Linked DNA regions of Pelodiscus sinensis. The main gene of each other region encodes a partner of the protein of the gene in region 3 in a complex. Links are inferred from orthologs where the notes say so. Each region holds a gene or a part of one and is shown on either strand. Other genes may lie near its edges. The genes, in order: NUP153, NUP93, NUP214 and NUP85.

Region 1 (6,962 bases), on a different chromosome or scaffold from region 3:
TAGCTTTTACATAAATGCTTCAATACTAAGGAAGTTAAAACAGTTAACAGATTACAAGATAACACTTAACCAGTTAATGGTTTTATCCTCAGTCCCAACTCCTGACCCCACTGTGAGGTCCCACTATGACGGTGGAATCCCACCACCTTGCCTACTAGCCCCCTCCAGGGCCAAGGATGTTCCAGTCTGACGCGGCTATCGCTGAAATTAATTGGCAAAGGCTGGTTAACTAATAAGCATACCATTAAGCCTCATTCTTATCACTTAACCATTGAACATCCCTATTCAATACTATACTTAGACATGAAGAAATTCATTTTCCTGTTTAGATGTCATTAAATTACTAAAGCAGTAGTCCTCAACCAGAGGTCCAAAGCTCCTTGAAGGGACAGAAGCAGGTTTGAAGGGCTCCGCCAAGCAGGGCAATCATTAAACTCACTGGGTCCAGGGACAAAAAGCTAAAACCCAACCACCCAAGCCCCACCACCCAAACATTAACATGAAACTTGAACAGCTTAGCTTCGCAGGCCCCATCACATGAGGCTCTGGGCAACTGCCCTGGTTGCTACCCCCCAAATAACAGCCCTAGCTTTTATATGAAATAGAACCCACACAATTGTTGTGACATAGGTAGGCTGTAGAGTTTATACAGCATATTTGGGGGGAGGCCTCAGAAACGAAAAGATTGAGAACCCCTGTCCTAGAGCTTCAGGGACAGGTGCATAACAGTGTTATGCAATTGTACATGTATACTTAATTTTTTTAAAATAATAATTCCTTTCTATTATTTTAAGAAATAGCAGCTTATGAAATTTATGTAATATAGCTCTTCACTGTATATGAAAACAGAACATAACTGAACTTCCTAGCTTTTCAGATTACTTGTTAAATAATGTATTAACCTAGTTTTTGCATTCATGTATAAATACATATATACCTACACAGATAAGATCTGTACAATAGATAAATATACAAGTACCTTAAAACACCTAGGAGCAAACACAATAATAATGAAAGACCTATTTTGCCTGTCCTCAACCAATCCCACCTAGTTTCTGGATTTTTGTTTGCCGAAAAATTCCCACTAATACAAAGTGCTGTAATATATAAACAAGTTGTGTTCTTTAGCCACCATTTCAGCAAGACTTGGAAAACCAATTAAAATAGTTTTTAATATTATTACCACCCACAATGTGCTAACAACAGAGATATATGGAATGGCAGTACTAGAAAAATTTATAGTGAGGGGTTGAAGCTTATGAACTTGTAGCCTACTGAAATGATCACAAGGACAAATAACCACACACTACCCCTACAAAGTGGCTTGTAAGAAGGACAAATAACCACATACTGCCCCTACAAAGTGGCTTGTAAGATATTTTGAAATTTGTAGATGAAAGAATTGGCTAGTTTGATTTTGAAGACATTCAAATATCAAAATTCACTGCATTATAACTAAATACCTATTTAAGCTAATGTCATCTAGTAGTTTGCCCTGATTGTGTATAAAGTTTATCCCACAGTAAACCCAAATTATTCCTGCTGATGTATAAATACCTTTTGGCAATCTGAGCCAGAAAGCAACCAGTAAGTTGTAGTAAATTGGGTAGTATAGAAAAAGAGCGTAGCTATATCACCCCAAAGGCTAAGAAGTATAACAGGGTGGGCATCAAAAAGTTTACATCTTGGGAAAGTCTGCAGCCTACACCCGCTCGTCTGTGTGACAGGAAACGAACTCCAGATTTTTCCTTCCAGTGCTTTTATTTCCCCCCCACCCACACCGACAAAACTGTCTGAGGCAAATTGAGACGGGGTGAATTCACACATGGCACCAACTGCTAAACACGTTTCCTCTTCCCTCCCGTGACCCCTCCCAGCTTCACCAAAAAAAAAGGCAGGAAATCCCTAAAACATCCACACACGCACACACCCCGCGCGCGCTCCCAAGGGAAATCCCTCAAACTCCTCCCCGCTGCCCGAGAGGAAACCCCCGCACATGGACACACACCCCCAGCCCCGGGGAAAAGCCCCCTCCCACACACACGCACATCCCGCCTCGCAGGAACCCCCCCCCCCCCAGCCTCACTCGTCCCTCCACCCCGAGCCGCGGCTCCTCACACGCCCCCAGCGCCCTCCCGCCACGCAGCGCCCCGCGCCGGCCCGATCCTCCACTCGCCCCACCGCTGCCCACTCCCAGCCCCACACCACGTGGGGCCTGCAGAGCCCGGGGATGCTTCACCCCGCCCGGCGGCTCCCAGACCCCGCGGGCCGCTGTGAGTCAAAGCCCCCGCCTGGGCCTGGCAGAGCGGCGCGGCCCGGCCCATCCTCTCACCTGCTTGTTTCTCGGGTAGGGCTTCGAGGCGCCCAGGTGGTACCGCCGGGTCCGGATCTTCCCCCCGCCGCCGCCGCCGCCGCCCCCGCCCGAGGCCATGCTGGGATCCGGCCCCCCGGCGCAGAGCGGGCCCGGCCCCCGCTCGCTCCTCTTTCCCCCCGCGGCCCGGCCGCGCCGCCCGCGCCCTCTTCCTCTCTGTGCTGTCACTGTCTCTATGGCGATGCCCCCGCCGCGCGCCGCGAGGCCTGTCTCGCGGGCTCCGGGGCCTCACGCGCTCGCTGCTGCCGGCTCCGTCCCGCCCGCGCCGCGGCCGAGTCCGTGCACCCCTCCCCCCTCCCCGTCCGACCAACCACACAGCGCCCGCCCGGGCGCGTCGCGTCACTAACTCGCGCACTTCGGGATGCGTCATCCTGACGCGACTTTCCCCAGGAGCGTTCCCTGCCTCGAACGCACATGGGAAGTGTAGTTTCGGGGAGCGCAGAGGCTGGCGCGGGGCAGGGAGGAGGAGGTAGTTGGAGACCGAGCCCGGCTCAGGCTCTGCGTGGTTTTCCTGAAGCTGATCGCAGCGGGCATTGAGCAAAAACCCCCTCACAGGTTGCAGAGAAAATCCTGAAGGCAAATAAGCAGGACAGCCCCCCCGTATCGTCCTTTAGATCTTGCGATTTTCAAGGCTTGGTCATGATTTATTGAGCGCCCGACCTCTCTGTGGTAGGCTTCCGAACACGTGGGAAAGGAGTCACGTCTGCTACTAGACCCTAACAGCCTTGGCTCATAAACCAATTATTTGGGGGCTAGATTCTGGTTGGTGTTATAAAACCCGCCACAGTGCAAAGGGAGGGGCGGAGTTATGGGTGGTGCCGGGCAGAGCAAGGACCACGGAAAGGCACATGATGTACTAACGGAAATAAGTCCTTTACAAGTGACACACAAGAGTCAGCACTATTTCTAGGTGAAGCCAGACCTGTAAGGTGTAGTAAAAATGTAGTCACGCAAGTTATATAAATTGTAATAAAAACAAACCAAAAAGTGTCAAAGAGGTGCTTAAAACAAGCCAATGAAGTGATTCTGATTTATATCCACGATTGCTCTGGTCCATTATACTTACAAATATGTGAAATAGGGTGTAAAATATAAAAATATCATTCCAGCTAGCTTTATAGAGAAGATATTGCCCTACAAATTGCCTTCATTGACTTGTGAAAGAATCAATCATTTCTGACAGTCATTAATTTCATTTGTTTCTCTCTCCAATATGGGAGATGGATTGCTATACTTTACACAGTAGCCTGAATCTAAATAAGTAACAAACAAAAAGGCTGGGCTAGCTATGGAGGTTTTAGTGACCAAATTCTTCACCAGATTTGTAGTTCCAGGTAATCAGCAAACAGATGAAGGGGGAAATTTAGAATCAAAAGTATTACAACAGTTTTATGAAATTCTGGGATTCATAAGACTCACATCTTATGGGAGAAGGTGGAATAGGCCAAAAAGGATTAAGCAAACTATCTTTTTAGAAAAGTATCAAATTGGCCATAACCAAGCATATATTCTTTTGACAGCCTATAAAATAGCAGTCAATGAAAGTACAAAATATATCCCAATTCACTTCATATTATGATAAACTGAAGACCCCGGGAAACATCTTCTGCAGAGTTTCTGGGAAGGAACAAAGAAATTTGTATCACTTGAACTATAGAGATATTCCACAGCCCCAAACTGAAAATGCCCACATTTCCTTGGGAAAATCTGAAAGCATTTGAAAATTAAAAAACTTTAACAAACAGTTCATATGGGAAAACATTTTTGGGAGGACCTAATAGATTCCACAGTCTTGGTAGGAGCCCTAAAACTGAATTAACTTTGGGAGGGATTCTCTACAACATTGACAAAGATAATTGAAGTGGTGAATAATGTAGTTGGATCCCAAAACTAAGCCCCAAATTATCCCTAAGGCTCATCTCAGGAGGTACAAGAGAGCCAGAATTCCAACTAGGCTATCCTCAGCTTTGGCTCAGAACACTGTTTAGATGAGGCTGAAAGACCATGAGATGCCCTATTAAAACAAAATGGGCAAAGTCCTTCATGGTCACAGCCTTCAGACATCAGAGAAACAATGGACACACGGCAGGAGTCAATAAAAAGCAGCCCTTCCAAACTGCTGAAAGAAAATCAAGAGAGCAATAGGAAAAAAAATTAAATCAGGTGTGGAAGACATGGAAAAATCCAGACAGAAAGAATGTTACTAAAATAATTTACTGGCATTGCCTATAATAAAGGTTAGGCTAGAACAAGCTGGGAATGATGTGAAGATAATGGGACAAGAAGCCAAGCAAGAGAGAGCTGTGTGGGACAGTGGAAAAGAGTTGTTCCTTGTCTGTTAGCAGGTTCCACAGAAAGAGTGGAAACCCTACAGGAGTTCTCATCACAGCTTAAGTATGTTGTGCACAGGTATAAAATCAAGTTGAAATAAAAACTCTCTACATCAACATTTTCTAACTTGGATATCAACATTCAGAGACTTATGCACCTCCCCATCCCTTTTGCAGAGCAGTGTCCTCTCCCTTCTCCTACCCTGCATCAGTTCCTCTTTCCCAATTGCCCTTTCTTCTTTCTAAATTATTCACAATCTCTGTCTTCAACCCCCATCCACCCAGCTCCACCCTACCCCCAAGTCTTTACACTTCCAAAATCCACTCACACACAAACACTTATAGGGGCTCATTTACTATTTGCACAAACAGACTTCTGAACAAGGAGAAAAACTTACTAACATTTCTACACTAGTCTCCAAGGAGAAACTGATCATCTGTGCTTTCCCCAGCTAGGATGGTGGGACACACTGACAGGTGTATGTGCTCCACATCTAGATCCAGAGATCCTGTTTTTCCTTCCTCCATCTTGGGGAGGGAGGTTGCAAAAGCATTTTGCTTTTTTGTATGAGTAAATTACAGTTTGACCATGATCAGGCCAGTCTCAGCATGCAGGCTACAGGGTAAAGCCAAATCCAAGAACCTAAAGGGAAAGTGACAGAAGCTACTAGTTAAATTCTTTGCATAGTTGCTTACAAACCTACAAGAGAACTGGGACTGTTTCAACCCAGGAATGAAAACTCAACAGTAGGGAGCAGCAATCTGCAGGAGACAAAATCTTGCATCCACTATGAAGACTCAGTATTTTTGAGGGATAGCTGCATAGATTGTTGGAGAAACAACATTGGCTTGCCAGCTGTCTACACTGGCCACTTGAATTTCCGCAAGAACACTGACCATCTCATGTAAGAAATCAGTGCTTCTTGCGGAAATACTATGCTGCTCCTGTTCGGGCAAAAGTCCTTTTGCGCAAAAGGGCCAATGTAGACAGCTCAAATTTGTTTTGCACAAAAAACCCCCATCGTGAAAATAGCGATTGGGGCTTTTTTGCGCAAAAACGCATCTAGAGTGGCATGAACGCTTTTCCGCAAAAAGTGCTTTTGCGGAAAAGGGTCCATGCCAATCTAGACGCTCTTTTCCGCAAATGCTTTTAATGGAAAACTTTTCCGTTAAAAGCATTTGCAGAAAATCATGCCAGTCTAGACGTAGCCCACTATGTTATAGCACTTTTGCTGACCCAAGACCTTAGCGACTGCTAGTATAAGTTAATAATCATAAAATTAAATAATTTTGGGGGGCAAAGATTGTCTGACAAATGTGTTTATACAGTGCTTAGCATGCCTAGCACTGCTCTTACTGGAAGGATCAGAAGAAAACAAAGGGTGATTAGGGCCACTCCTTCATATCACAGGAGCCTTCTGCAAAACAATGGGAGAAAGGGGCAAATGGCCCAATGGACAGTACTTTCATGAAGCTCATGGTGCCATGGGCAGAAGCCACACCTTCAAAGAAACTATTCACTGCCTTTCTTCTCCCTCCACCTGGTTCTGTCCACTACCTAGTCCCAATGTTCTCCTTTCCCACAGTGCACTCAGCTCCAGGGCAGGAGACCCTAAGTAGCTTCAAGGGGCTCCTGGACAATAGATACATAGGCCCTTGAAGTGGCACTTCCCTGCCCTGATGCTAAGTGCTAAACATGGGGGGCAAGATGGAGGGAGGGGAAAGAGGCACATTCTTCAGAAGTCCCAATCCAAAATAGCCCTAGTCTCATCCTCCTGCCATCTGGGAACTCCCCCACAGCAACCCCAGCTCCTCTTTCCAACACAAGTAGTGCAGGACAGTTTTCCAGCCAGTTTTCCAGCCAGTTAGTAACTCACCAAATTGAAAAGGAAGAGCAGCAGTAGCCACTGCCCCAGGGCAAAACCTGTAGAGCCTAAGGCCAGGTCTACACTAGTGGGCAAAGTCAAACTAAAGTATGCAATTCCATCTCTGTGAACAGCATTGCTGGAGTCAACGTACTTTAATTTGACTTACCACAGCATCCCCACTGAGGAGAGTCAACAGGAAAAACTCTCTCAACTTCCCTTACTTCTCATGACCCAGTGGAGTATTGGAGTCAACAGGAGCATGATCAGTGGTCGATTTAGCATGTCCTTACTACACCTGCAAGCCAGGCCACCACTTCCCACACCTCCCATTGGCCAGGAACATTGAATCACATCAACTGATTGCTGCAGGGCTCTATGCCTGCAGACACTCAG
Region 2 (7,217 bases), on a different chromosome or scaffold from region 3:
GTCGATCTGGCCAGCGGTGGCCTGCTACTCCCCCAACCCACAAGCCAATCAGGGCCTGCAGGAGGGGGAGAAGTGGGCAGTCTCCTCTCACCCTGCAAGGGGTGCGGCACTTCTGCAAGGAGCGTGGAGCATTTAGGACAGGGGCAAAGTGGGAGGAGACTTCACGCAGTTCCCCCCTCCCCCAGGCCAATCAGGGATTAGAGGCAAGGGGAGCACGTGAAGTTTCCTCCTGCCATGCAAGGGGCTCAGTACTTAAAGTCAACTGCCAGCTGCTGCTCCCTTGCAGGGTGCGAGCAGGGAACAAGAGACTTCACATGCTCCCACTCCCCAGGCCCTGACTGACCTGGGGGCAGCAGGGGGAAGCATGCAAAGTCTACTCTCACTGCCACAGGCACAGGTACCTAGAGGGAACTGCCATTCTCTCCGGGGGGAGGGGAACTTTGCACAATCCCCCATCCCCAGACCAAGCAGGGTCTATGGGTGGGAAAGCACAGAAGTGTCCTAGCCCCACTCCTTCTACCTGAGGCCCCATCCTTTCCTGGGTGGCCTAGGGCTACTTCAAAAGTTTCTGAAGTGGCCCCTGGCCAAAAATTATTGCCCATCCCTGCCATAATGCCAGCCCTGGGTTTTATACCTGAAAACCAATTGTTGTAGCCCAAGTGAGCCATGGAGTTTGTATAGCATATTGGGGGAAGGAAAGGCTCTGAAAGAAAAAGATTGAGGACCGCAATCTAGGTGGACCGCCTATCCATCACAGATCACCACCACCCATCTGAACACTAAATTCAACAACCAAAACTATGCCAAAGTATTGCAGCCCACAGGTGACTAGACTGTTAAGTGCCTTAGGCAGTGAATAGCAAGGACACAAATGCAGGAAAATGATTGTGAGATATACCCAGATAAATGTGACAAGTGACCCCACCATGCACTCATGCTGCAGGAGCAAAACCCTACCAAGTTAATTGCCAATTTGAGTTGAGGAACAATTCTTTCCCTCTCCCCCACATACGGCCATTAGTATGACCCCACAGATATGAGCAAGAATCAGCCACAAAGTGTAGGGTTCACCAGCAGAACTGAACCGGGGACCCCTGGAGCTTAGACCAACTGGCTTTCAGCTGAGGCAGTAGAGCACACTCAATCTTTCTCTCTAAGCATCTAAGTGCAGCACACCCAGTAGGTGTGTGGGTTACACAAGCAGCCAGCAGACAGAAAACAGGACTACATAGCGCTTTAAAGACTAACAAGATGGTTTATTAGACCCACTTGGGTCTGGCCCTAGAAAGCTCATCACGTTAGACTAACCATCTTGTTAGTCTTTAAAGTGCTACATAGTCCTGTTTTTTGTTTCAGCTACACCAGACTAACCCGGCTCCATCTCTATCACTAGTCTACCAGCAGACAGAGTACTCCGCAAGGCCTCCCATTCCACCTACTTACATTCCCAAATGGCGTTTCAATTAGATCCCAGACTTTTCCTCCAGATCCCTGTCCTACGTGCCTATGTAGTGCTGCGCTGCAGCATTAAGCAGAGGCTACAATAAACCAGCCCAATCCAGGCCGCATGAAGAAACCCCTGGGTACTCCGGGCCCAAACAGGTGCCAAGCACTGTGGGCGGGACTCTCTGGGGAACCAGGCGCCCGTGTGGAGGGGTGCTTAGCTCCCTCGGGCAAGGCGCCGGACGGAGACACTGGAGACACGCCCGGCTACGCCGCAGCCCGGTCACCGGGCAGGACACATCCCGCGCGGGCGGCGGGGCAGGCGGAGCCGGTTCCGGCGGGGAAGGGGCGGACACGCCAGAGGAGCCTGGCATCGCCCCGCGGGCCGCCCCCATCCCCTGAGGCGCGGCCGAGGGGCTAAGGAACGAGCCCAAGGCCACCGGACCGAGGAGCGCCCCTGGCACAGTCCCCGGGCGCCCCCGTGGGCCCAGGGCCCCTCGCCAGGCCGGCACCGCCGGGGGCGGGGTGGGGGTAGCCGCGAGCACGAGGCGCCCCCGCCCGCCGGCCTGAGCTCGCGCCTACCTGCCGCCTCCTTCCGCTGCGGGAGCCGCTGTCTCCGCGCCGGGCGCGCTGATTGGAGGAAGCGCCGCTCCCCCAGCGGCCCCCGCGCCACTGACGTCAGCTCAGCTTGGTTGAAACGCTTAGCGAGGGATTCGGACCCGGGGGCGCCGGGCCCAGCGTGGGGTCCCTGGAGCGTCGGGCCCAGCGTGGGGTCCCCGGGGGCGCCGGGAGCCGGGCCCAGCGTGGGGTCCCTGGGGGGCAGCGGGCGCCGGGCCCAGCGTGGGGTCCCCGGGGCGCCGGGCCCAGCGTGGGGTCCCCGGGGGCGTCGGGAGCCGGGCCCAGCGTGGGGTCCCTGGGGGGCAGCGGGCGCCGGGCCCAGCGTGGGGTCCCTGGGGGGCAGCGGGCGCCGGGCCCAGAGTGGGGTCCCTGGGGGGCAGCGGGCGCCGGGCCCAGAGTGGGGTCCCTGGGGGGCAGCGGGCGCCGGGCCCAGAGTGGGGTCCCTGGTGGGCAGCGGGCGTCGGGCCCAGAGTGGGGTCCCTGGGGGCCGGGCGAGGTGGGGAAATCCCTAGTGGTGCGGGGTGTGTAGGGGCCATTGGCCAGAGCCCAGCGGGAACCTAGTAGGAGCGGATCCATCCGCACCTCGGCAATTGAGGCAGCTGGTGCCCTGGCCTAGGCCCCGCTCCATCGCATCCGTGCTGGGGCTGGGCAGGGGGCCCAGCTGCCTGAGGTTGCCTGGGGCCTGGCACTGCAGAAACAGCTGAACGCACCGCTCTCAAGCCCGCTGTGCGCTCCGCCTGCCCTGCACCAGAACGAGCCTGGGATGGGAAGAGCCCGCACGTGGCGAAATTAACTAAGCAAGGCGGGTAGGAGGCGCGATCGCTGCCTGAGCAGGGGGCTGATGGCCTTGCCTGCGGTCACTAGGCCAGGGCCACTGGATCCGGCCCGCGGGCCCCCCTGCCGGGACCCCCCCAGGCACGTAGCACAGAGCTCAGTCCCCGCTTCTCTCCGCTCTGCAGGGAGGGGGAAGCGTCCTGCCATCTCCCCGCCCCCAGCCCAAGCCTTAGTTCCGATTGGCCAGAAACAACCGGCCAATAGGAACTGACCCCGGCAATCTCTGAGCTCCTATTGGCTGGAAACAACCAGCCAATAAGATCTGAGAGATTGGAGGATGGGAGCCCCGCAAATCTCTTTCCCCTCCCAGAGCTGAGCGCCACGTGGTGTTTGCAGCTTGCCGTTGTCAGTCATTTGGGGCTGCAGCAGGCAGGGAGCCCAGCCTCTGGCACCCCTGTGCCTCCTATACATACTCCAACTCCCCAGGTCACCATCCTAACCCTCTGCACCCCCCTGCCTCAGGACACAATTCTCTCCCAGACCCTGTACCCCCCTATACCCACCCCCAGGCCAGAATCCTCTCCTGCACCCCAACACCCTCCCAGACCCTGCACCCCATTCCCCTGCCCCAAGTCACTACCCACACCCGGTATAGCCTGCATCCCCTTTTCCCCTTCTCCCAGGTCACAGCTCCCTCCCAGACTTTGCACCCCCACCTCGGCTACACTGTCTACACTGGCAGGTGCAAGAACACATCCACACTGCCATGTGCTTTTGCGCAAGAGCACCCATGGCAGTGTGGACGCTCTCTTGTACAAGAAAGCTCTGATGGCAATTTTAGCCATAGGGCTTTCTCGTGCAAGAAACCCCTGCTGCGCCTCCACGCTGCCCTCTTGCACAAGAGAGCTTCTTGTGCAAGAAGTCCTCTCTTACCACACTTTACTGTAAACCTTCTTGTGCAAGAGCAGGCGAGCAGTATGGATGCTCTACAGAAGAATGGCCATTCTTGCGCAAGAACCCGCCAGTGTAGACATAGCTCTAGTGCCCCTCTCTCAGGCCAGAACCCTCTCCTGCACCCATACCCCTCGCTGACCCTATCCCCAAACCCAGGTCACAACTCCCTCTTTTGCCCAAACTTCCTCTCAGACCTCACACTGTCTCCTGCACCTCAGTCCCTTACCCTCTGTGCCCAACCTCCATCCTGGACCTTGTATGCCCTCCACAGAAAAGTGTGGCCCTTCACCGCTTTCCAAAATCTCGAAGTGGCCCCCCCTCCAAAAATTATTGCTCACCCACGCACTAGGCAGACAAGGAGCATGGGTCCCTCTGCCTTATAGCCGTGTGCTGCAGTGACAGCAATGGAGTTACTCCTGATTTATGCCCACCATGCCCTGTGCTGTGTGCTGCTATAGCATTTACCTATGCCAACAGAAGGGATTCTCTGGTCTGGGGAGTTGCTGGATCACACGACTGGCAGAAGGATTTGGTTCCTAGTTTCTAGTTCAGTTTGGTATGGGGGTAAGAATTAACAAAAATGTCCCATTTATACACTTTTCAGCTGTATGTATGGCCACATTCCAGAGGGCTGCTGCAGAGCGATGTAAATTAACCACAGGCATTCAAAGGATGGGCAACTGTGGTACAATCACCACCCTACAGCTCAAGATTACTACTAGGGAATTGAGCAACTTTGTTTTACAGTTAGGACTCTTAAGCCCTGATCTACAGTAAGAAGTTATTTTAAAATAACCCTCTTTATTTTGAAATAATAAGCGAAACATCCATACTACCAAGCCTATTATTTCAAAACAATGGCCTGGTTATTTCAAAATCTGTATTGCTTTCCTCGAAGAATAATGGTTATTTCAAAATAGCGTTACTGTGGACACTCCACTGCTGCTATTTCAAAATAACTGCTCCCTAAAGTCATTCAAAGTAATATTCCCCAGTGCTTCCTGGGGCTCAAAGTTGAGGTATCATGTCCACAACAATGGAGCCTGCCTTATACTAATTTCAAGACTCCCCTGTAGTGGGGACACTTTGGTTTTATTTCAGAAGTTATTATTTTGAATTTAGTTATTTTGAAATAATCTCCTAGTGCAGACATACCCTAAGGAAGCTGTACTAGCTAAGGCTACTGAAGAGAATCACTGATTTAGTCGTCTGCCCCATCCATGCCCACTTCCTAGCTGGTGCTACCCACTTGGTGGGCTGTGGAAATTCCCTTAGAAAACCCCTAAGGTTAGAAATCTATTTCTGACCCTACAGCCTGGCTGATTTCAGGGAAGGACTTTTTCCAACATAACCCCATCCTGAATTTCTTCTGTAAACATCTTCCTTTAGAATACATAAGTTTATGGCATCCAGGCATAATAATTGTTTCATTTAACAATGTGAAAATTAATGATGCCCCTCTTGTGCCATGTGGAATCACAAATACATCAAATTGCCACACAAGGGGCTACGTCTAGATTGCATCCCTTTTTCGTAAAAGGGATGCAAATTAGACGTATCGCAATTGCTAATGAAGCGGGGATTTAAATCTCCCCCGCTTCATTAGCATAAAAATGGCTGCTGCTTTTTTTTCGGCACGGAGCTTTGCTGGAAAAAAGCGCCAGTCTAGACGTGGATCTTTCGGAAAATAAAGCCTTTTCCGAAAGATCCCTTATCCCTCTTAAAATAAGGGATCTTTCGGAAAAGGCTTTATTTTCCGAAAGATCTGCATCTAGACTGGCGCTTTTTTCCGGCAAAGCTCCGTGCTGAAAAAAAGCGGCAGCCATTTTGATGCTAATGAAGCGGGGGAGATTTAAATCCCTGCTTCATTAGCAATTGCGATACGTCTAATTTGCATCCCTTTTACGAAAAAGGGATGCAATCTAGACATAGCCAAGGGAGTATAAGAAAGTGATTGCTTCCCCCTTTCTCTCTCCAGATATGCACTACTTGCCAACGCTAACAAATCCTCTTCATGAGCAGATTCTCCCAGTCTCATTTTACTAGTTTTGGCTGCTGCCGGAGGGTTAAATAGCTAAAGATGCTGCCTGTTTGAAGGCTTTTAAGTGCTTTTGTTGAAAGATCAGCAACATTATTTAAAAGGCAGCCAGAGAACAGCTGTCCTTCCCTCCTGCCTCATAGTTTTTTACCTTGCCATCTGGATTTGTTTCATGCTGTCTGCCTCACTGGTGACATGGAGCTGCGTGATCGTCTGGTGTCTGACATTCATAATACCAGCATCAGACACTGGCCTTCAAGGACACTGGATCCAGCATCCTACTTCAAAATACCAACTGTCTACCATAAAGATAGTAGAGGGAGGATTTTTTTCTTAATATGTTTTCTTTTTTCTGCAGTCCTTTAAAGTTTCTATAGTGCACAATAGTGATTTGCAAAATTACAGGAAACACAAGGAATACACAGAGATTCCCTGCCCTTGGCTTGGGCATAAGATTGTTCTTCCATCCAATTTGATTAGGAAGAAAGAATTCCAGGTTGGGGTTTGGTTAATAGCTCCCATTTCCTGCAAGATGCAACCAAGACTCCAAGCCATTAGTATGGACTAAATTGGCACAGATTTGTAAGGTGACAGTGTGGGTTCAAAAAGGCTCCCTCCTTGCATCCCAGCATAGGGACTATTCAGTTATTGAAATCCCTGGATCTGATCCTGCAAGGCCTGATGAAATGCATAATGGAATACTCAAGGAGCTGGTTGAGGAGATATCTGAGCGATTAACTGTCATCTTTGAAAAGTCATGGAAGATTTCAGAAGACTGGAAAAGGACAAATATAGTGTCCATCTATAAAAAGGGAAATAAGGCAACCCAGGGAACTCCAGACCAATCAGCTTAACTACTGTACTAGAAAAGAAAATGAAGCAAATAATTAAGGAATCCATTTGCAAACATCTAGAAGATAAAAAGGTAGTAAGTAACAGGAAGCATGGATTTGCAAAAAGAACAAATCATGTTAAACCAACCTGATAGCTTTCTTTGATAGGATAACAAGCTTTGTGGATAAGGGGGAAGTGGTAGATGTGGTATAACTAGACTTTAGTGAAGCATTTAATACAGTCTTGAATGACCTTCTCATTAATAAACTAGGGAAATACAATCTAGATGTGGCTACTATAAGGTGGGTGCGTAACTGGTTGGATAGCCATTCCCAGTGAGTAGTTATCAATGGTTCACAGTCATGCTGGAAGGGTATACCGAGTGGGATTTCACAAGGATCAGTTTTGGAACCAGTGCAATATCTTTATCAAGTAAGATATTGGTATAGAGAGGACACTTATTAAGTTTGCAGATGATACCAAGTTGGGAGGAGTTGCAAGTGCTTTGGATGGCACGACTATAATTCAAAATGATCTGGACAAACTGGAGAAATGG
Region 3 (7,965 bases):
AAAATCAATGGGAATTTTGTTGTTGACTTTCTAATGAGGCCTGGATTTCCCCCCTCTGACTTGCAGTTCTAAGACACTGACATCCACCTTTATTTTGCCTGCCCAAGGTGTAAGATTAAGCCCCAAGTGCATGTCACAAGCAGTCTAAAAATGGGCAAGAATTGCCCTCACGATCACAATCGCAGGCCTCCAACCGGAAGATGATAAAGAACTTCCACCTGTGACTGGTGCAAGACAGACAGCAAAGTCCCCTGGAGGGTCCCTCTTGGATCAATAAGTCCTTGCCACTGTGGTCTCCTTTTTAGAAGCTAGAGAAACTATTCTGTTCTGTCATCTGTGGTAGAAGCTGTCAATTCATTGTCTGCTTATATTTATATAGTTAAAATGAAAACTACATAATATATTGGGTTTGTTTTCCTTGTAATGTGAATAAGTGGTTGGCTTCTGAAGCTTGCAGACTCCCTCTTCTCCAGTGACCAATCTGGTCAATTTCCCTAGACTAAATCCTGTTTTAACGGCCAGTTCCAAAAGCTGTTATCTTGCACCTGAAATTCTGGGGATGGTGGGAGAATGAGCCCAGCTATTTTGCTTTCAATTTTCACAGAAAAGGCCTGGGATATGCTGAATCTGTAGGTGTAGGAAACGGAACTCCAGTCTGAGTCCTTAAGCTGGACCAGAATGAATTCTGGATGAGTCTGTTTGTATTAATGCCCTCAAAATCTCCCAAATTAGGCCTTGTTCAACAAACATATTTCTTATATGCTTGAATTTACTCATATGAGGAGTCATTTGACTTCAGTGGGACTATTCCGTGACAAAATGGAACACATGAAAGGGTTGGGGGGTTTTTTTTGCCTTTTTTTTTTTAATGGGAACCAGGGATCTTGTCTCTCCCTTTTGGGGGTAGGGAAAGACTCCCCAGGATCCCAGGACTGAGACTTAGCTGGACTGTGCTTTGGACACTGCTGTGTACTCTGTATTTACAACTCTTGGAACCCAGTTGTTTGCCTCTGGGATTTAATTGCTTATCATGTTTCTTCCCTCTCCCTCTGGGTTTTTTGTTTGTCCTTGGCAGCTTTTAACTTTGTGGTTTTTAAATCATGGTTTAAATTAAAAAAAAAAACAGATACCCAATTTATTGTTTGAACTCTAACTAGTCTTATTGTGCCTGCCAAAGGCTGCCCTTTTTAAGTGTCTTGCTGTTCTTGTTTGTATGAGAATTTAGAATTGTAATGGAGAGAGAGATTGTGGATGAGAGCAGCACAGCTCTATTTGTACAGACTGAAAATAAATCTTCTGACATTTATGTGAGGCATCAGTGTATTTAATACTGCTACTCAATATCCCTGTCTAAACTCAAGTTGTTCCATGTGATCTAAAACCTTAGGCCTAGTCTATACTACAGCAGGAGGTTGAATTAAGATACGCAACTCCAGCTATGTTAATTATGTAGCTGGAGTTGACATATTTTAAAGTGCGTTTCTGCATCCACACAGGTGGAGCTCCTGTCAGCTTCCCTTACTCCTTGCAGTTGCAAGGAGTACAGGTGCTGGCTGGAGCTGTCCTCAATTTATGGATCTATACTAGACCTGCTAAATTGAACACCAGAAAATCAACCTCTGGAGCATCGATCCACCAGTAAGTATAGATGTGGCCTTAGTTTTCAAATCATTTTAGTTAAAGGGGTGCAAATCCCTGAATAGGCACTTAAATTACATCAGGATAAGATAGCTGTAAACCATTTCAGCCAAAGGCTTCAATGTTTGAATCAAACAGGGCAAAGGAAGGGGTTTTTAAAATCAAGCATTCACTGGTTCCTGGCTGCTCGCTTACTTCAGGGTCACTGTTTGACATGCACATGTGTCTGGCAGAAGCAGCAAGACTCTTCTTCTTCATCTTCACTTTAACAATGGATTGGCCAAACCATCAGTGAGTTTCCAAAAAGAATTATACAAGTGGGACTGCGCTTCATCATTCCAGTGGATGACAGGTAGATTTCCTGTCACTCAAATCAAGTGGTAAACCCCTTTTGCCCCAGCATAGTCAGAAATGTGGATGAGGCCTTGCTAGCAGCCTCCCTAAAGAATGTATACACCTCACTGGGGCCAGTGCAAGGTCAGAATGTATCGTTCACTGTGTGACACATCCTTGCATACTTCAGATAATATAAATTGCATTAAACTAGCCTGTGGGAACTGAGAGATTGTGCTGGGGTGGGGGCAGTGCAGCACACACAGCCTCCCCCCCGCCTGCTCCCCATAAAGTGCAGAGATCCACATGGAACAGCTAGCCACTCTCGATGGTCCGGGGCTGCTGGCAGGCTGGGGAGCCTGCCTGAGAGTGCTGCTGGCCAGGAGCTGGTTAGGTAAGCGCCTCCCACCCAGAGCCTGTCTGTGGTACCCCCCCTTTCTCGCACCCCAACTCCCTCCCAGAGCCTGCACCCCCTCTCACACTATTCCTCCAGGTCAGAATCCTTTCCTGCACTTATACCCCAAGTCACAACCTTCTCCTTCACCCAAACTCCCTCTGAGACCCAGCACTAAAATGATTAGGGGGCTGGAGCATATGATCTATGAGGAGAACCTGAGGGAGTTGGGTCTGTTTAGTCTGCAGAAGAGAAGAGTGAGGGGGGATTTGACAGCAGCCTTCAACTTCCTGAATGGAGGTTCCAAAGAGGATGGAGAGAGGCTGTTCTCAGTAGTGACAGATGGCAGAACAAGGAACAATGGTCTCAAATTACAAGTGGGGGGAGATCTAGGTTGGATATTAGGAAAAACTATTTCACTAGGAGAGTGGTGAAGCACTGGAATGGGTTACCTAGGGAAGTAGTGGAGTCTCCATCCCTAGAGGTGTTTAAGTCTCGGCTTGACAAAGCCCTGGCTCAGTTGATCTAGTTGGGATTGGTCCTGCCTAGAGCAGGGGGCTGGACTTGATGACCTCCTGAGGTCTCTTTCAGCTCTATGGTTCTATGATTCTATGACCCTCTTCTGTACCCCAGTCTCTTACACTGAGTTCCCTTCTGCACCCAACCTCTGTCCAAGACCCCACATCTCCACAGAAAAATGAAGCACTTGACCACTTACCAATATCTTGGATTGCGCCCCCCCCCCGCATAAAAAATAATTGCCTACTCGTGCTCTAGAATATCCATTTGAGTGATATTACAAATACAAGTATTTTTATCTTTTCCAGGGATCTAATGGCAGGTGCTCTCTCTGGGTATGTCTACACTACCCTGCTAGTTCGAATTAGCGGGGTAATGTAGGCATACCGCAATTGCAAATGAAGCCCGGGATTTGAATTTCCTGGGCTTCATTTGCATAAGCGGGGCGCCGCCATTTTTAAATCCCCGCTCATTCGAACCCCGTGCCGCGCGGCTACACGCGGCACGAACTAGGTAGTTCGAACTAGGCTTCCTAGTTTGAACTACCGTTACTCCTCGTGGCACGGGGTTCGAACGAGCGGGCATTTAAAAATGGCAGCGCCCCGCTTATGCAAATGAAGCCCGGGAAATTCAAATCCCGGGCTTCATTTGCAATTGCGGTATGCCTACATTACCCTGCTAGTTCGAACTAGCGGGGTAGTGTAGACATACCCTCATAGACTAGCTGTCTCATGGGATTGCTTGAGTAATGCTGCTGTTTGCCCTTCATTTGTTGGTGTGTGCATGCCTGTCCAGTCTGACATACACAATGGCAGTGGCTATTTAGCTTTGTTTAAAGGGTCTAATAATCCCACTATAGAGTAATAGTAATTGCTAATGCCATCAAAGGGTATTAGTTACATGCTGCAGTGGAGGAAATGAAATTAAGCAGTTCAATTGTAAACATGAAGCCACATTAACTGGCTTCTCTATAACCAGAAACTGATATTTTAAAATGAGATTTATAGTACTTTCATGTTTCACTTGGAGACCATTCATACAAGGAATGTGGAATTCCTTTCTTTGAAATGCAGAAAGTGGATCTAGCCCCACAATGCAGAGCCCTACACTGTCATGGTAATTATGTTAGGATAGACTACTCTGGCAGCAGCATTGACTGCTGTTTATGTATGCTGTGTGCATACTGATCATTGCATATGGTAAACCAAGACTTCAAACTCATGAGTGTCTTAAAAATCATGAAATTCTTAAAACATAAATCTGTGGGGTTTCTGCCCTTCCAATTTCTGAGCCTTTAGGCTACACTTAGGTCAGATACACCTCACTTCCATCCCCAAAACGAGGAGGGTTGGACATTTGCTTGTTATTCTTTAAAAGAACCTGAAAGTCTCATGTAATAATGACTCCAGGAGCTGGGGCTTTAACTGAAACACCAAGTAATGTGAGAGTTGGCAGCACTGGAATAACTAGCTTGCCCCAAGGTTGATGTTGGTGATTTACTGCCGTGTAGCAAATATAACACGACCAATTGGGTAACAGGAACAGTAGCCTTCCAGACTGGCTGGATCCCTGGTAGGATGACTAGAGGGGACTCCTGCTATTAGGAGCATTGTCATCTATAGGCAACTGTATCCTGCCTCTGAAAATACATGGTAAAACAAAACAAAAAAAGTCATGTAGCACTTTAAAGACTAACAAAATAGTTTATTAGGTGATGAGCTTTCGTGGGGTGGACCCACTTCAGATCCTATTCTGAAAGTGAACAGGCATGACCATTTTATAACAGAGGGAAAGAAGGTAAAAAAAAATTACAAACTGACAATTCAGCTACATCCATGTCCTAGTGCTGACTGTGATCCAAGTTTGAATTGCTTATTGATGTTGCTCCTAGAAGCCCCAATGATGGGGCAGCCCCCCCCCCCCCCCCGTCTATTAGGTGCTATACAAACTAGTCACTGCCCTGAAGAGCTACCACGCCCCATCCTCCTTTGGCCACGCCCCCTCGTCAAAGCTCCCGCCCCCTGGCATTAGGCCCCGCCCTACAGTCTTACCGTAGTGTCTTCCTCGGTCCTCCACGAGCCAGCGGCGCTGCCATAGAGCGCTGCGGCTAGAGTAGACTTGATGGCCGCCGGAAGCGGAAACGCTCCTCAGAGCCCTGCGCAGGCGGTTGGCGACGGGCTGAGCCGGAGCTATGGGGGACGATATGGATGTGGTCCCCGAGCGGGAGATGAAGGTATGGGCGGGGGGGTTGAGGGGACACGGGGGGAGTACCCTGCCTTGGGGGCACTAGGCGTTGTATGAGGGAGTTTCGGGGGTCAGCGAGCTGGGTGGGGGGGGCGGTGTCCCGGGGGACGGGGCTGTGGGCCGGGAGCTGGGATAGCGGGATTGAGGGGGGAGGGGCTGTGGGCCGGGGGGGCGGGGCTGGGATAGCGGGATTGAGGGGGAGGGGGCTGTGGGCCGGGAGCTGGGATAGCGGGATTGAGGGGGAAGGGGCCGGGGGGATGGAGCTGGGATAGCGGGATTGGGGGGGAAGGGGCTGTGGGCCGGGGGTCGGGGGAACTGAGCTGGGATAACGGGATTGGGGGGGAAGGGGCTGTGGGCCGGGAGCTGGGATAGCGGGATTGGGGGGGAAGGGGCTGTGGGCCGGGGGGACAGAGCTGGGATAGAAGGTCTGGTCATCCTAGTGAGTGCTCATATCACTACAAAAAATCAGGCTGTTAGGTGTGGAATGTTAGGTGCCACAGTTACTGGGGCCCTACCAAATTCATGGCCATGAAAAACATGTCAGACCTTGAAATCTGGTGTGTTGTGTGTTTTTAGAATGTACTACACAGATTTCACAGGGGAGACCAGCATTTTTCAAAAGGGGGTCTCGACACAAAAGGGAGTCTGAATTGGGGAGTGAGACTGTAATCACAAAAGGAATTTTAAGTTTTCTGCATAGTAAAGATGTTACCATTAAATTCTTATTGCAAGCAGTCAGCGTTTATATGTAACTTAAAGCTTTTGTGATTTATAATCACACTTTTTTTCCCTTATGTTTCTGGTGATGCAAAACTCTATGCAAACAACAAGGGGGTGTGATCACATGCAAACTATTGTCAAATACACAAAGTAAACGTTCGAGAAGGGGGAAGAAGGAGGGGAATCTTTTTGTACTGCAGTGGTCACCAAACAAGTAGATCTTGGAGCCTTTGACAGGTGATCCTGACTGGTTTGGCCAGGAAGCTATCACGCTCTGGCACTTCAATTGCCCCTCCACCCACTATCATGCTGCTCATGCCCTCTGCCTTGTAGCTGCCCCCTGGGAGTCGCCTGCTTGCTGTGCAGGATGTGGGAGGGAGGGGGGGGGGATGCTGATGTCAGGGTGTTCCTTCTCCCACCCACTTCTGTATCCTATCTCTACACAGAGAAGAGATGGAGTGAGCTTGTCAATGCAAATCTCTCACTCTCTCACACTGGTAGAAATGTAGCCGTGTTAGTCTGGTGTAGCTGAAACAAAATACAGGTCTATGTAGCACTTTAAAGACTAACAAGATGGTTTATTAGATGATGAGCTTTCATGGGCCAGACCCACTTCCTCAGATCAAATAATGGAAGAAAATAGTCACAACCATATATACCAAAGGATACAATTTAAAAAAAAAGGATACAATTTAAAAAAAACACTGTGTGTGTCTGTCACTCACAAACACAAACTGTCCTTCACTCTCTCCCCACTCAACACATATGTGGGTTGTTTTTACTTCTTTTACTGCATGCAAAGTATGTTGTTTTTGGTTTTTGACAGGTTTGTGTATTTCATACTTTTCATTTCTTTCTTATGCTTAAATTTAATTATTTGAGTAGTGAGTTCTAAAATGCCTAACCTGTCATGGCTGGAGTAATTATCCCTATGGTAACTGCTGCTCCTGGGAGTGACTGGCATGTCCCTGCAGTGCATGAGAAAGGTAGAGCAGGGGATCTTCACGTTCTGTCCTTGCCTGCAGACACCAATCCTGCAGCTCCCATTGATCAGTACAGACAGTCCCTGGGTTACGTACAAGATAGGGACTGTAGGTTTGTTCTTAAGTTGAATTTGTATGTAAGTCGGAACTGGTACATATCGTAGGGGAAACTCTAGCCAAACATTTCTCCAGAACTCAGTTTTATTCTCCCACACCTCACTTCCCTCAGTCCTTTATTCTCAAGCTGAGGTGTCTGCTGAGAAAAGCCGCTCCGCGTCTCCATGGTCTGCTGGGGGGGCGCTAGCTTCGCGTCTCCCTGGTCTGCTGGGGGGAAGCAGCTAGGGCGGGGTTGCCTCACCCCGTTTGTAAGTAGGGATCCGATGTAAGTCAGATCCATGTAACCCGGGGACTGCCTGTAATGGGGAACTGGGGCCAGTAGAAGCTATGGGCTCAGTGCCTATAGATGAAGGACAGCACATGGAGCCATTGCTGTACATGCCAGCTGCTTTCAGGAGCGGTGTAGGTCCAGGACAGGAGCAGGTAGGAAGTTTTAAGTATATTACTGTAATAGCAGGTAAAATATATTCAGATACATATACCACTTTTAAGTTAACATTGTCCCTTATGCGATCACTGTAATGACTGTACTAGTCATTATGCACAGTCTTTTTTTCTTTTTTTTTTAAGTGGAAAATGTTTTGCTACTTTCTAGGGAAGTCTACATGTTCTCCAAATGCTGTCTATTAATGATAAGTATATTATGGATTATCAGACTTTTGAAAAAAAAATACCTGTCAGGAATTAAAACGGTGACTTCCTAGTTTATTTTTGGAAACAGTGAAAAGAACAGTGTCCATTTTAGGCCACCTGATAGAGAAATACTTTTAAAAAGATGCTTGAAAATAACTTGGTGCTCTGGCTATAAAGTAGATAAAGAAGAAATAAATGTCTTAGTCTTTCTTCAGTTAGACGTCCCAGAGAGAGATTTCAAAAAGCACCTGTTTCAGATTGTGGTGATAGTGTTTCATGAGATTAATAACAGTCTTTCCTATTCTTCATTATTTACTTCACCAATATTAAAGTGCTAAGTGAGGTCCATGGCCCACCTATTAATAGATAATTTATGAAAATATC
Region 4 (7,173 bases), on a different chromosome or scaffold from region 3:
CCTCCTTTTCTCCCCCGCCTGTTCTTCCTGAACAGTTTAGCATGACTGGAGCACTGTCATGGAAGGGTATAGTCATCCCACCTTATCTCTGTGATTCCAATCAAATCATAGTTCTTTGAGTGGGTCAGGGCTTCTAATTCTTCTTGTTTGTTTTCCAGGTTTCTCGCATTGGTGTACAAAAACCTTAGATAACCAGCTGATCGCCTTGCTTTCTCCATCTAAAAGAGGGGTCCTCCTTTGTTGCTCGTTCCTCCTTGTGATTCTTCCCAGTGTCCGACTTCCTCACTTACCTCAGGGCTTTGGTCACCGTCTCCCAATGAACCTAGTTTAAAGCCCTCCTCACTAGATTTGCAAGCCTACCCATGAAGATGCTCTTTCCTCTCTTGGTTAGGTGGATCCCATCTCTTCCTAACAATCCTTGTGCCCAGAACAGAGTCCCATGGTCTAAGAAACCAAAGCCCTCTGACACCACCTGTGCAACCACACATTTACTTCCTCAATTTGATGATCCCTACCCAGACCTTTTCCTTCAACTGGGAGGATGGAGGCGAACACAACTTGCACTTCAAATTCCTTTATCCTTCTTCCCAGCACTACATAATCTGCTGTGACCCGCTCAAAGTCATTCTTGGCCATATTGTTAGTTCCTACATGGAGAAGCAGGAATGGGTAGCGATCCGAATGTTTAATCACTTTCGGAAGTCTCTTGGTCACATCCTGAATGCAAGCTCCCAGTAAGCAGCACACTTCTCGAGATTGCAGGTCTGGACGACAGATGGATGACTCAGTCCTCCTTAGGAGGGAGTCCCCAACCACCACCACCTGTTTTCTTTTGGGGGTGGTAGTCGTGGAACCCCCATCCCTCGGACGAGGCATCCCATGCCTTCTGGTAGATGGTGTTCTCTTCTAATTTCTTCCCTGAGAGATCCCTGCCAAAGCATTCTCCACCGCAGTGCTGTGAAGAAAGCCTGAAAGCAGTTACTTACCTCTACAGGAATGGGGGATACCTGAGTTGGCTTTCTCCTTCTAGAGATGACATGGTGCCAGTTTTCTTCCTTGTCCTGTACTGCCCTGACTGGCTCTTCAGCCTGCTGTGCCTGCAGGATTAAATGCTGCCTTCTATCAAGGAAGTCTTCATCCTTTCTGATAGAATGTAGGGTTGATACCTAGGCTTCAAGTCCTCTAATTTTTTCTTCTAAAATGGTGACCAGCTTGCACTTAGAGCAGATGAAATCCATTCTTTCTTCCGGGAGGAAGACTAACATGGCACATGCTGTGCAGGTAACAACAGCAGACCTATCACCATCCATACCTGCCTTCCTTCTGAGAGTATCCTCAGATGTTATTAAATGCCTCCTTGAAGGGCAGGAGAGAGAAAAGAAAAAAAAATTCAAGGAAAAGAGCACTAAACACTATGGGGGTCTCCTAGGGTGAATTCCCAGGCCAACTCCCAGGTTGGCTGCTGCTCTCTGCGTTTGCTCTGGCTGCCTTTTTAAGAAGGCTGAGGCTAGGCCTGTCTCAAAGCCTTGCCTCTGATGCAATCAACCCCTGAAGGCCCACCAGAGCTTAGGAAGTTTTGATAATAGTTTAGTGAAAAGATTTTTTAAGAACGGTAAGATTTTTTTTTTCCAAACTCCCTCTCAACTCCCTGTTATCAGCCCCTGTTATGATCATAAATGGGGAGGCCTGTCCATAGTACAGGGTAGCAAGGGATGGAGGACTACACTCTACCTTAGAATCATAGAACCATAGAGCTGAAAGAGACCTCAGAAGGTCAAGTCCAGCCCCCCACTCTAGGCAGGACCAATCCCAACTAAATCAACCCAGCCAGGGCTTTGTCAAGCCGAGTCTTAAACACCTCTAGGGATGCAGACTCCACTCCTTCCCTAGTTAACCCATTCCAGTACTTCACTATCCTCCTAGTGAAATAGTTTTTCCTAATATCCAACTTGGACCTCTCCCACCACAACTTGAGACCATTGCTCCTTGTTCTGCCATCTGTCACTACTGAGAACAGCCTCCATTCTCTTTGGAACCTCCCTTCAGGAAGTTGAAGGCTGCTATCAAATTCCCCCTCACTCTTCTCTTCTGCAGACTAAACAGACCCAACTCCCTCAGCCTCTCCTCAAAAGTAATGTGCTCCAGCCCCCTAATCATTTTGGTTGCCCTCCGCTGGACCCTCTCCAATGCGTCCACATCCTTTTTGTAGTGGGGGGCCCAGAACTGGACACAGTACTCCAGATGTGGCCTCACCAAAGTCGAATAAAGGGGAATAATGACATCTCTGGATCTGCTGGCAATACTCCTCTCAATGCAACCTAATATGCCATTAGCCTTCTTGGCTACAAGGGCACACTGTTGACTCATATCCAGCTTCTCATCCACTGTAACCCCCAGGTCCTCTTCTGCAGAACTACTAAACTGGTTGGTCCCCAGCTTGTAACTATGCTTGGGATTCTTCTGTCCCAAGTGCAGGACTCTCCACTTCTCCTTGTTGAACCTCATCAGATTTCTTGTAGCCCAATCCTCCAATTTGTCTAAGTCACTCTGGACCCTATCTCTGCCCTCAAGCATATCTACCTCTCCCCCTAGCTTAGGATCATCCGCAAACTTGCTGAGGCTGCAATCCATCCCCTCACCCAGGTCATTAATAAAGATATTGAACAAAACCGGTCCTAAAACCAAAGCTTGGGGCACTCCACTAGAAACCGAACACCATCCGGACATCGAGCCGTTGATCACTACCCGCTGGGCCCGGACTTCTAGCCATCTTTCTATCCATCTTACCATCCATTTAGCCAATCTACATTCCCTTAACTTGCTGTCAAGAATATTGTAGGAGTCCATATCAAAAGCCTTGCTAAAGTCAAGGTACATCACATCCACTGACTTTCCCACATCCACAGAGCCAGTTACCTCTTCATAGAAGCTAATCAGATTGGTCAGACACGACTTGCCCTTTGTGAATCCATGCTGACTATTCCTAACCACTTTCCTCTCTTCCAAGTGCTTCAAATGGATTCCTTAAGGATCCTTTCCGTGATTTTTCCAGGAACCGAGGTAAGACTGACTGGCCTATAGTTCTCTGGATCGTCCTTCTTCCCTTTTTTGAAGATGGGCCCTACAATTGCCTTTTTCCAATCATCCATGATTTCTCCCAACCTCCATGACTTTTCAAAGATAATGGCCAAAGGCTCCTCAATGACATTTGCCAACTACCTCAGTACCCTCAGATGCATTAACTCCGGACCCATGGATTTGAGTACATTTAGCTTTTCTAAATAGTTCCTAACCTGTTTTTTACCCACCACGGGCTGTCCATCTTCATCCCATCTTGCATCACTTAGCGCATTAGTCTGGGAGCCCACCTTGTCTGCGAATACAGAGGCAAAGAAAGCATTGAGTACTTCAGCTTTCCCTTCATCATCTGTCACTTAACACTCAGAGACTCAAATACCTATATCTGTGTGCAGAATTTACCACCTACAGCATGAATCCAGGTATGGAGCAGGTTAAGCAGTTGCTCCATTACACCAATGTATGCCATCATCCCCACCTATGCAGCTGGAAGGAAGAGAGGCCAGCAGTGGGAGAGCCCTCCAGCTCTGCTAGCACAACTCTCCCACCCCCTTATTTCTGGATCCCTACACACCAGCATGATGTTGCCACAGGCTGTTTGGACTGAGCATGACACCGCCTGAGCCCACCCGCGAGAGCCATTGCACCGCCCTCCCCCGGGACTAGAGCAACGCCCCAGGGGCTGCCGCTCCAGCCTGATGGGCAACGTGAGGGCGCCCCACAGCCAGCGACACCGCCACCCCGCGAGCAGCTGAGCCGAGCCGCCAGCGTTAGGGAGGGACGAGCAAAGAACCCAACCCAATGAAGCCCAACCCACCCCCACCCCTCCGAATGCATTGACTCGGGCCGCCTCTCCCGCTTATATAGCTTCGCGGGGTCCTTCCAGCGCTCGTTGCGCCATCGGGCTGTCTATTGAGCGCCTGCCCCCCATTTCAACATAAAAGCCCCAAAAGGGAGAACTTACCCTCACCCTTTCCAACACACGCAATTCCCCCCCTTCCTAAGGAGCTAGTCGAGAAGCGCAGCTGCAGCAATGTGGCCCAGGTGGCGTAGATTTGTGCAGGCACCGCAGTAGTCAGCTCCGAACTAGGGGCCTCTCTCTCTGCCTGGCGCCCTGAGTGCAGGCGGCCTGTGGTGGCGGCAGAGCTGCTTCGCTTCCGCTGTCCGGCCCCGGCCTGGAGAGCGCGCTGGTGGCATGGAGGAGCTGGATGTGGAGCCGGCGGTCACTGTACGGCAGAGCGAGTCCCTACCTCTGGGGAGGCTGGACCCTCCTCCCCCTGCCAGAAGCTCTGGGGCGGGGGAGGGAACAGGCGAGGGGGGGCCTGCGGGGAGAGGGGCGCGGCTGTGCGGGGCAGGGAGCTGTTGTGCCTCACTTCGGCCCCTCCCCCGTACCTGTGCATTACTGATTATCTCCCTTTGTTAGCACAGATGAGTCCCCCGCGCAAAAAAAAAAAAATGCAATGATCATTAGCGCAGTACCTAGTGCTCTACAAGAGAGGGTAGGATCATTATCCCCGTTTTACAGATGGGCAAACTGAGGGCATCTCTCTTGTATCTGGGAGCAAGCATCCCAGCTTGGTTAGATAGACTTGTGCTAATGGGGCCTTGCCCTAGTGTGCTAAAAATGACTTTGTAGATATTGCTTTTACATTATGGCTCTCAAACCCACCCCATCCTCTCCTGGGGTTAAGAATGCGGGCTGCAACACTAAACAGCTAATTTGAGTTTGCTACTGTGGGCCCCACTACCACAAGCTTGTGGACTGAAATTGGGAGGCTGCAAGGGAGACATACTCTGAAAGAGGAAAAGGAATCCCGCTTGCTTGCTCTGTTGTCATAGAGAGCAGCCACATGCTTGATAGTCCCTCTGCCTTCTTTCCTAACAGCTGATTCCTGGAGTGGACTCCAATCGGAAGCAGATGTGTTTTGACTGGGGACCTGGAGAGATGCTGGTGTGTGAAACTTTGTTCCCAAAAGGTGGATAGCTTCTCTTTCATTTTTGAATGCTTGTCTTGGGTGGATTTTACTAAATATTAATGCAGAGCAAACTGGAGTATTGACAACCTCTAGGCTACGTCTACACTGGCCCCTTTTCCGGAAGGGGCATGTTAATTTCACCTATCGTAGTAGGGAAATCCGCGGGGGATTTAAATATCCCCCGCGGCATTTAAATAAAAATGTCCGCCGCTTTTTTCCGGCTTTTAAAAAAGCCGGAAAAGAGCGTCTACACTGGCCCCGATCCTCCGGAAAAAGCACCCTTTTCCGGAGGCTCTTATTCCTAGTAGGAATAAGAGCCTCTGGAAAAGGGCGCTTTTTCCGGAGGATCGGGGCCAGTGTAGACGCTCTTTTCCGGCTTTTTTAAAAGCCGGAAAAAAGCGGCGGACATTTTTATTTAAATGCCGCGGGGGATATTTAAATCCCCCGCGGATTTCCCTACTACGATAGGTGAAATTAACATGCCCCTTCCGGAAAAGGGGCCAGTGTAGACGTAGCCCTAGTGTTCAGAAACTGTAAATTAGATCCCAAAATAAATTAGCTTAAAATGAGATATTTGAAAATAAGCGTGGGGTTCTTTTTATTGCCTTTTAAAGAATTTGGTGTACGTTCAGATCATGTTTTTCAAGTTTTATTTTGCAACGAGAGCTAGAAACTTCTTGGCCGGTCATTTGATTCTAGGAGTTGAGGCTTCAAGAACACCACCAAATGATGTGAGAGTTAGCAACACTGTTAAACAGCTAAGAGCTGGGTGAAGAATTCAGTCACATTTGTGCACATTAGACTCATACATTCAGTCACAGTAAGCATACATGATCAGACTTAGGAATTATATTGAGCAGATTTGAATTTTCATTATCACATGCAAATTATTAAGGAATTTTGTGGAATTGAATATTACAGAGGGTCTGATATTTTATTAATAGTTTTGTGCCTCTTGTCCTATTTTTGTGCTGACTCCTAGACTTTTTACCAAATAAATTTCCAGTTAATATGTTAAGAACCATTACTGTAAGTACAGAAGTATATTACTATCCAATAGGACTGAGATTCTGCAGAGCCATAGCATTCATTTGGCTATTTTATGGTTTACATGCTTCATTTCAGGACGTGAAGAGAAAGGGCTAGGCTGCCCCAATATTTTCATTGTTCGCAAAGATCAAGATGTGTACTCACAGACATTACGCAAACTCTTCAATGAATCCCATGGGATTTTTGTTGGACTACAGAAGAGTGAGGAAGAATTGGCTGGGAAGTCAAAGAAGGCACAGTGAGTAAACAGAAATGCTAGATACTGTTGAAACAAAAAGAGAACATGTCTGCTTCCCTGTTCCCCATGGAGATCAGTAGTGAGGCATAATTTAGATGTGCCACTTAATAGTGGAGGGCGAAGGCAGGTTGGGAATAGTTCCGTCAGATCTGTTTCTCAAATAGTGTTGCATCTGTGCATCTTGTTAGGTTGGTAAGTTTGTGAGTTACCAAAGGTACAATTCATACAGTATATACCTTTGTTCATTGACTGAATTTAATAAAGAATATCTTGATTGTTCCTTTTATTTGTGCCCACTCTCCTTTACTGTTGATCTCTACTGCCTCATCTGTAGATACGAGGTAGGAGAGCAAATCCCCTATGCCTTTTACAGATTGTCTTGTTAGAATGTGAGGTAAGGTGATACAATAATTATTCTGTGCAGAAAATGACCAGTATATTGTTCCCCTTCCTCTACCAAACATATAAATCTTTCTCCAATGAGTGGAATAATGAAACTGAAATTCTCTTAGCTGGTGAGTCTCAGTAATATTGTGTAACTAATTTTTCCTGTTACCATTTTACAAAATTTGGCCCCAATCCTGCAAATAGACCTCTATGCCTGTGTAGAGCCCCACTGACTTCAGTACAGTGCAGGAGAGATCTGCCTCTTCAGAGAAACTTGTAGGATTGGGGCCCTACTATCCTGTAGGCACAAGACTAACAATAAATAAATCTCTCTAAACAAGATTTTTGTATTCTTCACAGATTGGTTCTAGTGAGTAAAAACTACCGTTCAGTCATAAGAGCTTGTATGGAGGAGATGCACCAGTTGGCTAGTAAGTTATTGTT

What was found.
Region 1: NUP214 (region 3) and NUP153 share a complex: the UniProt entries of both Homo sapiens proteins name them as parts of the nuclear pore complex. The link is inferred for Pelodiscus sinensis from reciprocal best matches to the Homo sapiens genes NUP214 and NUP153.
Region 2: NUP214 (region 3) and NUP93 share a complex: the UniProt entries of both Homo sapiens proteins name them as parts of the nuclear pore complex. The link is inferred for Pelodiscus sinensis from reciprocal best matches to the Homo sapiens genes NUP214 and NUP93.
Region 4: NUP214 (region 3) and NUP85 share a complex: the UniProt entries of both Homo sapiens proteins name them as parts of the nuclear pore complex. The link is inferred for Pelodiscus sinensis from reciprocal best matches to the Homo sapiens genes NUP214 and NUP85.

The regions. Positions count from the first base shown.
Region 1 is NC_134712.1:108,543,961-108,550,922, forward strand, and holds the start of NUP153 (nuclear pore complex protein Nup153), read right to left. Parts: upstream 3,021-6,962; 5' UTR 2,906-3,020; coding exon 2,786-2,905; intron 2,658-2,785; exon of another isoform or gene 2,432-2,657; coding exon of another isoform or gene 2,333-2,431; intron 1-2,332. UniProt on the Homo sapiens protein: Component of the nuclear pore complex (NPC), a complex required for the trafficking across the nuclear envelope. Functions as a scaffolding element in the nuclear phase of the NPC essential for normal nucleocytoplasmic transport of proteins and mRNAs.
Region 2 is NC_134722.1:43,933,503-43,940,719, forward strand, and holds the start of NUP93 (nuclear pore complex protein Nup93), read right to left. Parts: upstream 3,018-7,217; 5' UTR 2,913-3,017; intron 2,179-2,912; exon of another isoform or gene 2,026-2,178; intron 1,780-2,025; exon of another isoform or gene 1,444-1,779; intron 1-1,443. UniProt on the Homo sapiens protein: Plays a role in the nuclear pore complex (NPC) assembly and/or maintenance. May anchor nucleoporins, but not NUP153 and TPR, to the NPC. During renal development, regulates podocyte migration and proliferation through SMAD4 signaling.
Region 3 is NC_134732.1:14,188,115-14,196,079, forward strand, and holds the start of NUP214 (nuclear pore complex protein Nup214), read left to right. Parts: upstream 1-4,961; 5' UTR 4,962-5,075; coding exon 5,076-5,117; intron 5,118-7,965. UniProt on the Homo sapiens protein: Part of the nuclear pore complex. Has a critical role in nucleocytoplasmic transport.
Region 4 is NC_134730.1:12,413,183-12,420,355, reverse strand, and holds the start of NUP85 (nuclear pore complex protein Nup85), read left to right. Parts: upstream 1-4,173; 5' UTR 4,174-4,273; coding exon 4,274-4,306; intron 4,307-4,963; coding exon 4,964-5,054; intron 5,055-6,179; coding exon 6,180-6,342; intron 6,343-7,089; coding exon 7,090-7,160; intron 7,161-7,173. UniProt on the Homo sapiens protein: Essential component of the nuclear pore complex (NPC) that seems to be required for NPC assembly and maintenance. As part of the NPC Nup107-160 subcomplex plays a role in RNA export and in tethering NUP96/Nup98 and NUP153 to the nucleus.